2 linked regions of the Caenorhabditis elegans genome follow. The protein of the gene in region 2 interacts with the protein of the main gene of each other region in a pairwise test. Each region holds a gene or a part of one and is shown on either strand. Other genes may lie near its edges.

Region 1 (4,675 bases), on a different chromosome or scaffold from region 2:
ACATATTGCTCAAAATATGAAGCTTGAAATTCAATAGAGTTGACAACAACTGCATCGAGGAATATCTGTTCATTTCTCATATTTCGAATGTAGATTTTGCGTTTCTGCGCGGTACCGACAGAACTGAAAAAAAATGCATACTTGGAAGGTTTTTTAAATTAATCAAAATTTTTGTTATCATACTTAAAATGGCCCCAAAATGTCGAATTTCATAACGAGACATTCCAAAAATTGCATTTTTTCAAAGTCTCGTTATGAAGTTCGATCTTTTGAGTATAATTAAAAATTATTCACTTTTGCCCAAAATCCATCATTGGTGGATCCATCTCCATTGGAAGTTTCCCTTTTCCAGACAATTTCAACACGTTGAATGTTTTCGTCGCATGGTTCTTGTTGGCTTCTTTCGGACAATTTCCTTCACAAACTCCTTTAATTGAATCATAAACTGGCAATTGATGCACATTTTCGGGTCGAATAGGATGATTGAGATAGTGAAGCTCTTCACCGATTTGAACAAATGCGGTATGAAGAACTGGAATCTCGTGAAGCTGGGATGCGGACACTTCTTCTGGAAGAGGCCATGCCTGAAATTGATTTTTTAATGTGAATTTCTGAGGCTAAACCATACCTGCTGATCTGCAAAAGTTGAAGTGATTAAAAGAGAAATTAGGAAGAAATATATCGTCCGATATCTGTTTGAAGTTTTGTGTATTGATGGAACCATTTGAGCATTTGGTAAATTGAGAGTTTCTCTGAAAAAACGAATAAATTTTTTTCTATAGGTTTTCTGAGTAAGATAATTAAAAAGCACAATAAAACGGAAATCAGTTTTTATTGCTTATTTTTTGCTTATTTGCTTATGCAACATGGATGATACGTGGAATTGAACGGCACTAAGAGATTTCTCCAGGGAAATAAAAAAGTGAGAGACAACGGCAAAGGCGACGTCGACTTCAATTGGGAAGGATAACTGGGAGAAGAGATAGTGTTTGATTTGGAGAGACCCAGTATTCGGCATCTTGGGAAGAAGAAGATACAGTCGTCGTGAGACGCAGAACAAATAGGATCGATCGATTTTTGAGGGAAAATAGAGATGTTGAACACGTCATCACACCATTATAAGAGAAAGAAGAACGAAGAAATCTGGTTTGGAAAAGTGAAGAGAGAAAAAAGAAAAAGGGCTTTTTTCGGTGAAAAATGAGTGGAATCAAGTGAATAAAACAAAGACAAAGTGATAACCATCTGTCATCTAGGTCAAGGCAGTCAGGAAAAAAGTCTATAGCTGTCAACCGCAGGCTAGTTTTATTACCTCGGGTATGAATATTAATGAAGCATTAAAATATTGAGCGCTTGGATTTACATAGAATTTAGAAAATCAGAAAACAGTCTTTATTTAGCAGAACAATTGTGGAAATTATGGACACATTTTTTTTGTAATCAGAAAATGATTTTCTTCGGCTATTGTTGTTAACAAACACGCGAAAAATAGAATATTTGACAGAGTATACTATAAATATCAAAAATATGTCTTAAATAATTCCGAATATGCAAATTTCTGCGCGAAAACGTTCAAAACTGACGATTAAAAACCAGAAAAACTACAGAAACAAATTACAGTTATTTCAGCCGTGTGGAGAATCCTCGGCCACGGCCACCAGAACAATATCTCCTGACTGCAGTGACTGGTTTTCCGATGTTTACACTGCTGGAAGTTACTTCATTGTTCTTTTGCAAACAATTTCGCTTGGAAAATATTGATTTAATTTAACTTGAACGTAAATTGACTTTTAAATTGATTAATGAGTAGTTTTATAGAGGGTTTTGGTTACTGTAGCTTTAAAGGCGCATGCTTGAAAAGTTTTAATGAAGGAAACTCTTCCATAATTTGCAAACATTTTCACTTTTGTTTTTTAAGCCGTTTTCTGCTGAATTCGTCTTTTTATTATGAAATTAAAATTGTATTAATTTCAGAAATGATTTCATTCGAGGATTTTCTCCTCCGACCATCCAAAGTCGTCGATCCATTCAACAGATTCGTCGCAAAAATTGATCCATTTCTGACTCTTGTCGAATTTTGCCAAGTTATCGGACCAAAACCACTAGCGGTAGTTTCTCAGCGGCCAGATGATAAAAGTAAATATTTATACACAATTTTCTCGAATAAATGCTAATTTTCAGTCCGCGGAGTTGACATAAACGATATGGCAATCTGGTTGATGTCGTCTGATACTGTTCCGGGTACAATGATTGTGTTGGAAAACAATCAAACGGGTGTATATGCGGCCGCATATTATTTTAATTTGTACGACATGAGAGCAAGAGCTTTTCAAAGAAATTTATGCATCGCCTATTTATGTTCGGAGAAGCCAACAAAAGAAACTTTGAACCTATTCTCATCAGCTATGAAAAAATTAGTTTCACCAGTTTTGATTTGCAATCGACGTCTGTTTATTCGCCATGTCACTGATATTGTCAAGTTTTCGGACAGTGTTGGTAAGTTTTTTTTCTTCGATTTTTTAAACAAATTGTTACCATTTTCAGATGAAACCACCCTGAAACAGTACTATACACTGAATGGAGATTCACAAAAGTTGTCAGACGGAAGCAGATTCAATGTAGTTTTCGAGCAAACCAGGCTTCTAAAAAGCAAATTTTTGACGAAAAGATTTCAAGAAATGGCTTTTGATGGTGAACAAAACGTTGAGACTTTGATTTAGAATTATATTTCAGATGACATTTGCTGTGGTCACAATGCAGAAAACATGAACGAAGCTGAAGATATTATTTGCTCATTCCGAGTTCCATCAATTCCATTGAGTCCTGTGGAAACTCTCACTCCATGTGTAAGATTTTAAAACCTTTGTTGCCTATAAAAATTAAATTATACAGGCGTATTCATCCATAATTCCAAAACTACGCCAACTATGCTCCGAACTATGTTCATCAGGAAGCCCTAATAGAAATTCTACTCATGGAGCTCTTTTCTGTGGACACCGTCCCATCGCAACTACATCACCAGCCGCCACTACAACTTTGCCTTGGAACACTGATTCAGGAAAATCTGATAATGATAAAAACGGAGAAGAAACTCTAAAAGAAGTAACTGGACACCTGGGAGATGTCATATTTCCATTGCTTTGTGGAGAAGATTTGGTAGTTTGTGGAGCAGAACAGAGAAAGAGTACTGTAGAAGATATGCTCGGGAAATTGAGCAGAGTTGTTCCAAGAGAAAGTGCTCGGAATGTAGAAGAAAATATCAAAATCGAAAAGGATCCAAATAGGTAAATAATCAGAAAACATTCAATTCTAAAATTTGGTAATTTTTCAGAATAGGCAATGGATTGGGCGGTCTGCTATGTAATAGAAATGAGACCGGAAAATTGGCAAGATGGAGAAATGTTCTTGATATGAATAGGTAATAAAAATTCAAAAAAAAAAAAATATCGGTTTCAGAAGTGCTCTCAAGACGTTTACCTACGATGGATCATTGCTAGCTGGTCTCAATAAGAAAAGAAAGTGAGTAACATTTATGGACTTATTTCCTTATCTTGTCAAACAATTAAGTGCAAATAAGGGGATAAGTTCAGTTAAGATATACACTCTCCTAACAATAAACGCCTTTCAGGTTCCCATCTGATCGTTCCCTGGTCCTTTTTATAATTGCCTATTTGACAAATATTTGTCAGCTTGCATTCATCTGTCGATATATGTTCATCAAATCTCCGAACTCTATCGAAAAAGCATTGGGAGATCAGCAGAAACTGAGCTCAGACGACGAAAGAATATTGATCAACTTGCTGATGGGAATCGACTTCGAAAAATTCAACCAACTCAAAGTATCATCCAAAGACGGGGCAAAGCCGAGTAGAACCATCAATTTGTGATTTAAAAATTTGAATATTTATGAAACAATAAAAAAAATCAAATTCAGTCTGATACAATACAAGCTGTCATTGAAACAAAACATAATTATAGATGATATGAACAGTAATTAGAAGAAGGAAAATTTTAAAAATAAGGACGACAGAGCATTGATTTACGACAATGCATTCGGAGAACTTTCATCTTTTGATGATATCCTGTTTCATTTGGTTGATTTCAGCCCAAAAGTCTGCCTTGTCACGATTTCTAGCCAATTCAGCCGCCTTCTTGAACTCTTCAAAAGACTGCTTCAGAATGGCGAGCTCTTGACGCAAATTAGTGTTTTCCGCCACGAGATGAGCGATTTCTTTTTCATGTTGTTCTAAAACTCGGTCATCTTCTTCGTCTGGCTCTGTCATTGATCGTTTTGACTTTTTATAATGAGCCTTTGGTTCAGTTGGCCAGTGACAGATGATTTCTGGTTTATCAATGTCCGGGATTCTCACTTTGCACACCTGGAAATGTAATTTTGATTAACGAACGCTTTTGTTAATAAGAAATCTCACCATATATTCTGAATTATTGCATTTCACGTACATGTTCGAAAGAACAAGCTGTAAAATAAAAAATAACACTCGAAAGCTGAATTTATCTTACATCAACACTTCCTGAAATAAAATCCACTTTGTCAGCAACAGTCGGGTGTTTAAGCAGATTTTCGAAGTCCTAAACAGTTTTTAATAATTTTTGCAATGATGTTGGCCAGTTTACCTCTTTGCCGATGACGTGGGTAGTTGGCATCCAAGAAAGGTAT
Region 2 (6,728 bases):
AATACACACACAAATGTAGAAGTTTTTCTCAAATTACCACAATTATATGGCAAATGAAGAAGAAGCAACAACAACAGCAGAAGGAAAAAGAGCAGAAACAGATGAATAGGTGCTAAAAGACTCTTTTTCCTTTTTCTATCCATCTGTTCAGATGAAGACAATGATGTGTGGGATGGTTCAGACATGAAAAGAGGAGGATAACTAATTATAGAATAAGAAAATGATGATACATTGACACCAACATATATGAAATGAGAAAAAAGTAAAAGAAAACACAAAATATTGATGAATTACCGAGTTTTCTTAGAGAATTCGAATTTTCAAAGAAATGTTGAATATAAATTAATGGGTACCTTTTCCTTATTTTAAATGAGGGGTTGGTGGCATTTTCTATGAAATATTTTACGTCAATCAACACTTGACAGATCAGTTGAAAAAATATTTGTAAATTCATTTTTCTTTTTGGAATCTGAATTGTAATTTTATTTTGAGGGGAAAAAAGGAAGGTTGCTCTTCTCGTCGTCATTATGATTTTCTCATATTCAAGCAGAAGCAGCAACAACAAGCACAGATTGGAACACAAGTTTTGAATAATATTATTCGTTGAAGAGAGAAGGAGCACATATTTATAGATGAGAGGTTCATATTGCAAGATTTGAAAAATAAACTTGATTCATCATATTTTTCTTTCAACTGTTTGCCAGAATAAAAACAAAAGATTATAAAGTTTTTATTCATCACACGTGGAAAATGGTAGGCAATTCAATAAAAGTGTAACAAAAAATTGGGGAATGCAACTAAATTCATCAGAAACTGAAGGCAAAAAAAAAGAGTATCTCGTATTTAATATCCATGACTGGTTTGGACTTTGGCTCTACATGTAAATAAATTCGGATATGTCAGGCTGAAGTATTTCGGCTCTCGCTAGAACCGCGTTGAACAGAGCATCGTTGGTCAGATCCAGGGATTTTCGGCATTCAGTTAAACTGAACGATTTGGATCGTGTTCCGCACTCTTTTTCGTCATTTCCGGGGCGACTAGCATCACGGACAAAAGCAATGAATGCAGCGGCAAGATTATCGAAATAGAGCATTATTTGAGTACAGAATCCAGAACGAACTGATTCTTCCATTGGAAGTAAATCCATTTGCTTTAGGAATGTATTCACTGATTCAAGAGTTCGGCAAGGTGACAGTTCTCTGGAATAATCAAAATTTTTTCTGGAGAATAAATTACCTAAATGTTTTATAAAAAATATAATGAATCTTCAATAATTTTCGAATTTCTATTGTAATGTTTTTCTGCTATAAAAATCAATAAATTATATTTAATTTCCTATGAAAATTATATTTATCGTTGGTGTAAATTAACTTTTTGATTTTTAAAATTTGTCATTTTTAGTTGCGCAACTAAAAACTAGTTGCAAATAATTGCTCTTTTTTAGGTTTTTTTCTAGGTTTTTTTTAACTTAAAAAACAGTTTTCACGAAATAGATCAAGTGAAAAAATCACTAAATGTTCAAATTCTCAAAATATATTTGATTGAATATTTTTATAAGTGATCGTTTTTATATAATCAACATACGAATGTTTTCTAGGAATTTGTTAAAAATTCAATTATTAACTATTACAGTACTTCCCAGATTTCGTTTTTTTGTCAACAATACGATACACGGTCTCGACACGACTATTTTTTGTTGAATGGAAAAAGTGTGAGCCTTGAAATAGTACTGTAAATTCAAACTTTTATTGCTGCGAAGTTTTCATAGATGTTTCATAGTTTTTCTATTTATCAAAAATGAGGTATTATTATTGTTATATTTGAGTTTTTTTAAATGTAAATAGAATTTTATCAAAAAATTTTAAAAATCTGATTTTGAAAATTCTGCAGTATTAAAAAGTTTCAAATTACAGTAAATTTTAAATCCGCGCACCTTGATCTTTTTTTTTCTTTTTCTCAAAAAAAAACAAACTTACATCTGTGGAATTTTTGTGTTCTTCGAAACCATCACGCCTGCATGTTCAAGAATCAACCGTACCCCTCGAGAATCATTTCGTGCTCGTAAAATTCGATGTTTTTGATATGAAGCTGACATACACACTGCTGACCGATCAATGTCGATGATACAAATAGGCCAAGGGCTTGATGTTCCGCTCATTATAACTGAAGGGAGTTCTGCCTGAAATAATGTTTTTTTAAAATAAAATAATTTGATGGTTTCACATACCCTTCGTACACCTTGTAATTTTAAATATGGATTATACTTGTGTCGGTAAGCTCTTAGACAACACCATTGATGTGCTTCAGGAACAAAAAATGCAAGAGTATAGAGGAGTCTGGCAACCAAAACATGATCCGATCCAATAATTACAGTATGACCCTGACTTTGCAAGCATCCGGAAATCGCTTTTGCGAGAAGTCGATTTTCGGAAATTGAAATTCCTCTATCCGTGAATAGTGTGTTCTTTATCTGAAAACGAATTACATTTTTTTGTGGTAGTTGAGTAAATCTTACCATTAAAGGTCGTTCCAGAGAAACAAGAGGAAATCTTTCGAGTGCAGAAAGAAGTGACAAGAGGCGAGAAAGTTCAGAAGTCACTCGAACCAGTACATCATCAGAATCTTCCTAAAATTTGATGCATTGTCGAAAGACTATAATTTACTATTCTAACCGAAAATAATGAGGCTTTCATTTTTGGAACAGAATCGCCAACCATTCTCTCAAACCATGAATGTCGATCCAAATACCATTCTTGTTTAAGATGTGACATAAGGAATGATATGGCATATGTAATAGTTGATCCTGATTTTGTTTGAACTGAGAAAATAAACGCCGCAACTAATAAGTGACGTGAGGGTGAAACAATCATCTTGTGTTGTAGAGGACATCGGGAATGTGGGGCACTGAAATCATAATAATTACTAAACTTTTTTTGTAGAATACTGCAATATTTGCGCCAAAAATACGGTAGTCGGTCTCGACACGAAAATTGTGTCAAAAGCGAAAAAAAGGTGTGCGCCTTTAAATATTTAAATTTTTTCTCACGATTTTTAAACGTTTCCCTTCTTATTGTTTCACTTAAGTTTTTCAATTAAAATGTATTTTTATAGAAAAATCTATGAAAAATTCGCAGCAGCATGAGTTATTACAGTACATTTTTAAAGGAGCATAAGTTTTCGTATTTAACAAAAATATAGTGTCGAGACCGAACACCGTATTTTTGTTGCTAAAATGGCAATATTTTGTGCCTGGTTAATAAGCTTACTTGCAAATAAGCTCAGCCAATACACATTTGGCAACAAAAGCTTCATCTGTTACATATGATTCTCCAAAATCAATCTGATCATCGAAGAAATCGAAAATATCTCTCGGTGGTGGAGTTTTTGTATGACCTCTTTCCTCTCGAAATTCAAAAACATTTGAATTGGGAGTCGATGTCATCATTCCAAATGCATCTTCATACTTTTTGATGTGATTCTTACAAGGAGGGCTTTGACACAAAGCAGATAAATCACTATGAGTTGACACACCAACTCCAGAATCAACACAAGATCGACGGAGTTCTGAAATTATAAACAACATTGAGATTATCAAAGAAATCTGAAACTCACCATCATCATTATTAATAGGCGACAGTCTGTCAAGTTCATAATGTTCGGTAAGATGTGCCACGCACGCAACGTTCGGAGCTGGCGTCGAGGTGGATGCAATTTTATCTCGAAGATACTCTGCGAGTTCTCTATCTTCTTCATTTGGATATTTACTTGCAAGCAGCTTCCCAAGATGGCCAGTATCATTTGGAGAGGGAGAAGCAAGTGTAAAGCTGGTTCCCAATCGTTCATCTTCCAAGAATTTACCTTCACAACAATGATCCAGTCCTTCATCTCTTAATGATTTTCCACTGCTTTCAGGACTTTCCATAATACGAGAATCATCCATTGTCAATGTTTTTGTACTTGTTGTAGCAGATTCAGTCATATATTCATCCAAATACTTGAGTGTTTTGTATTTATAGTCTCCAGCATTCATTAAATCGAAATCAGCAAATGAATCGACTAAATTGGCATCCAAACCATCGAGAATTGTTAATTCTGTCTGCAAAAATTAAAAATTTGATAGCTTTATCTGAATAAACTCACTTTTAATGGATCATCGATTTCTTCAAAAGACACCGATTGATTAGATCCTGAAGAATCCATTAAACTTTCAGCATCTGCAATTGATCCATCCTCTCCAGAAAGATTTACTGGTGAAATTGAAGTCGAAGGTGTCACATCCCAGACGAATTTCAGCTCCGGGCCAGTCATAAAGTCGAATTGCGACCAAACAATCTTCATTATTCCGCAGTTTTCACTCGTTTTGAGTGGCAGCAGTCTTCGTACAGCGTGATCTTTCTTTTGTTGCTGAAAAATTCATATTTCGAAACGTTCAATTATTTTATCTAATTATATATGTATAATCTACCTTGAATTTCAGTCTTTTAACAGCGGCAGAGTGCATTTTGGAAAATTTATAGTTTCTATTCTATTGGAAATGTTCATATTATTCGCCACAATATATAAATGATAAGATGCCAATGTGATAAGAACACAAAGGAAATGATACTCACGTCTTTAAGCGCATCGTATGTGGTAAAATATTCATCCGCTTCCATATGATAAATTTATACACAAAATTCTGCAATTTATGTCGTTTTCTTAGAGAAAGTGTAAATCGATTGTGAAATAGTAGCTTTTTGAAGGGAAAACTTGAAATAAATGAAGGGAAAGAACAAGGCAAACTGCTGTATTTACACAGGCAACAAACGAAAGAATTTTCCTGTAGGTTAACAACTGTCTCTACGTCTCCGTCTCCACGATCCTTACACTCTCATTAACTTAATGCGTTCACAATGGAAGAGCGATGGAAGGGAATAGATTGACTCATCAAAATGCGATTATTGATCGATGAATTGAACTTGTCAGCTGTTTTGTCGACCACGCGGCCGAAATTCAGATATTTCGGCCATTTCAGCTTCGATAGTTGTACAAAATGTCACGAGAATTTTTTTCGGCTTTCATCCGCGTTTGAGAAAATGATTATTGAAAGCGGTTTACAGTTTACAACTATTTATTCGATATATCAACATATTTGTGTCGGGTGATTATTTACAATTCGTGGGTTTTAGTGAGTACTGGAATCATGAAATGAGATGCGATCAAATGTTATCCATGTTAAAAGCCTTGAAATCGCCGTTGCGAATGCGGTTGAGACGAGTTGGGTTAATTGCAAAACGGCATCTTTTATCGATTTTCTTACTGATGACATCCCTGAAATGTTTAGTTACATAGCATATTTAATAATGATCGCACTAACTAACCTCAATGCTGGTGACAATTGATCAACCATTACAGAAACGGCATCGAATGGTTGCATAAGCATGTCCAGACTAAGCCATCCACTCAAGGCACACTTGCTGTTGAGTCGCTTGGTGACACATGGGAGAGTACATTGCAGAGAGTTACAAAGTTCTCCAAGATGATCAGCAACAATAAATACATTACCTCCAACTGTAGCAGCGAATTTAATGTTAGAATCTTGAGCGAAAGCAGTTAGGTTTGAACGAGCATAGCATTCTTTGTCGCAGCCTGAAAACGATTTTTTGATGGTGGGCAATTTTTCAGAAAAAAAATTACCTGACATGATATCATCAACGACAGGGTTGAGACACGACTCCATTCGCTCAAACAGAACGTGCTTTGTGGCACACATATATTCAACACTGCTGCTGGCTTTTGCGAAGAGCTTGTTGTGATCACAGTACTGTTCTTTCTTCAGACAAGTGATAGCCTGTGCATGATGACCACAGACTTTGCGAGCTTGATGTACAACATTCTTCATGTTCCACAGAGACGTCGTAGAATTGATGAACGGGTCGATGCACTTTCGCATGCAATATGGAACTCCAAGAGCGCGGAAAATTGTGTCGACGTCGAGGGCTGAAGTGAAACTTTAATCTTAAGCACACAATAATCTAGTTTTTTACCTTGTTCTTCGTGTGGCACGACATCTTTGTCGTCGTGTACCGATTCGATGGCACCATTTACACACGAGAAGAACAGAAAGATGGCGGGAAGGAAGAAGGCGAGATGGAGATGGCGCATCTGGAATTATGTAGAAGTTTTTTTTCCGAAATGGGGGTTAGATATTAAGCAGTTTGAAAGTGGTCTAAAAGCTTTCGAAAACTTTTATAAGCTTTCAAGAAGGTCATATAAGGAAAAGAACAGCTAGGTAGAAATGAAGTGGGTAACTGATATAGCCGAAACTTTACATAATTTATAAAATGAAAATTTATCAAAACTGACAAATGAAAATAAAACAAAATCCGAATTCTTTATGCGACTTTTCTGATTTCAAAATTTAGCGCGTCAATAGAAAAGTTAGATCGGCGGGAAAAAACAATTTCCAAACTACGGTTTTGATGGAGGTCTCGAAGCGAATACCGTACCCGGCAAGATTTACGCAGGTGGTCCGAGCCATTCATTTTTTTCTTTTTCAAATGTGAATTGCTTTGTTGAGAACCTGCAGAAAATCTTCATGTTTGGACGAAGTATTGACTTTTAGAATGTTTTTGTTCAGTATTTTAACCCTCTTCCAATATTGCGCTGCCATAATTTCGATTCATGCGATTTTGGCCGATGTAAAACCTTCATCAAAATTTCAACAATTATTATTGTAATCTTTAAAA

The links.
Region 1: the proteins of alfa-1 (region 2) and smcr-8 interact in a two-hybrid assay, tested with the Caenorhabditis elegans proteins (one study listed by BioGRID).

What each region holds. Positions count from the first base shown.
Region 1 is NC_003281.10:4,997,410-5,002,084, forward strand, and holds smcr-8 (Guanine nucleotide exchange protein smcr-8), read left to right. Parts: upstream 1-1,965; 5' UTR 1,966-1,973; coding exon 1,974-2,133; intron 2,134-2,178; coding exon 2,179-2,493; intron 2,494-2,541; coding exon 2,542-2,688; intron 2,689-2,730; coding exon 2,731-2,843; intron 2,844-2,889; coding exon 2,890-3,281; intron 3,282-3,328; coding exon 3,329-3,415; intron 3,416-3,453; coding exon 3,454-3,516; intron 3,517-3,625; coding exon 3,626-3,884; 3' UTR 3,885-3,959; downstream 3,960-4,675. Other genes in the region: tmem-131 (Transmembrane protein 131 homolog), read right to left, coding at 3-123, 295-584, 629-724; R144.10 (Coiled-coil domain-containing protein 25), read right to left, coding at 4,062-4,376, 4,428-4,475, 4,519-4,587, 4,633-4,675.
Region 2 is NC_003280.10:7,657,611-7,664,338, forward strand, and holds alfa-1 (ALS/FTD Associated gene homolog), read right to left. Parts: upstream 4,679-6,728; 5' UTR 4,656-4,678; coding exon 4,611-4,655; exon of another isoform or gene 4,502-4,610; coding exon of another isoform or gene 4,466-4,501; intron 4,405-4,465; coding exon 4,141-4,404; intron 4,097-4,140; coding exon 3,613-4,096; intron 3,565-3,612; coding exon 3,267-3,564; intron 2,905-3,266; coding exon 2,673-2,904; intron 2,627-2,672; coding exon 2,516-2,626; intron 2,471-2,515; coding exon 2,228-2,470; intron 2,180-2,227; coding exon 1,977-2,179; intron 1,200-1,976; coding exon 875-1,199; 3' UTR 718-874; downstream 1-717. Other genes in the region: F18A1.7 (Chondroitin proteoglycan 4 domain-containing protein), read right to left, coding at 5,199-5,310, 5,361-5,628, 5,677-5,979, 6,027-6,144.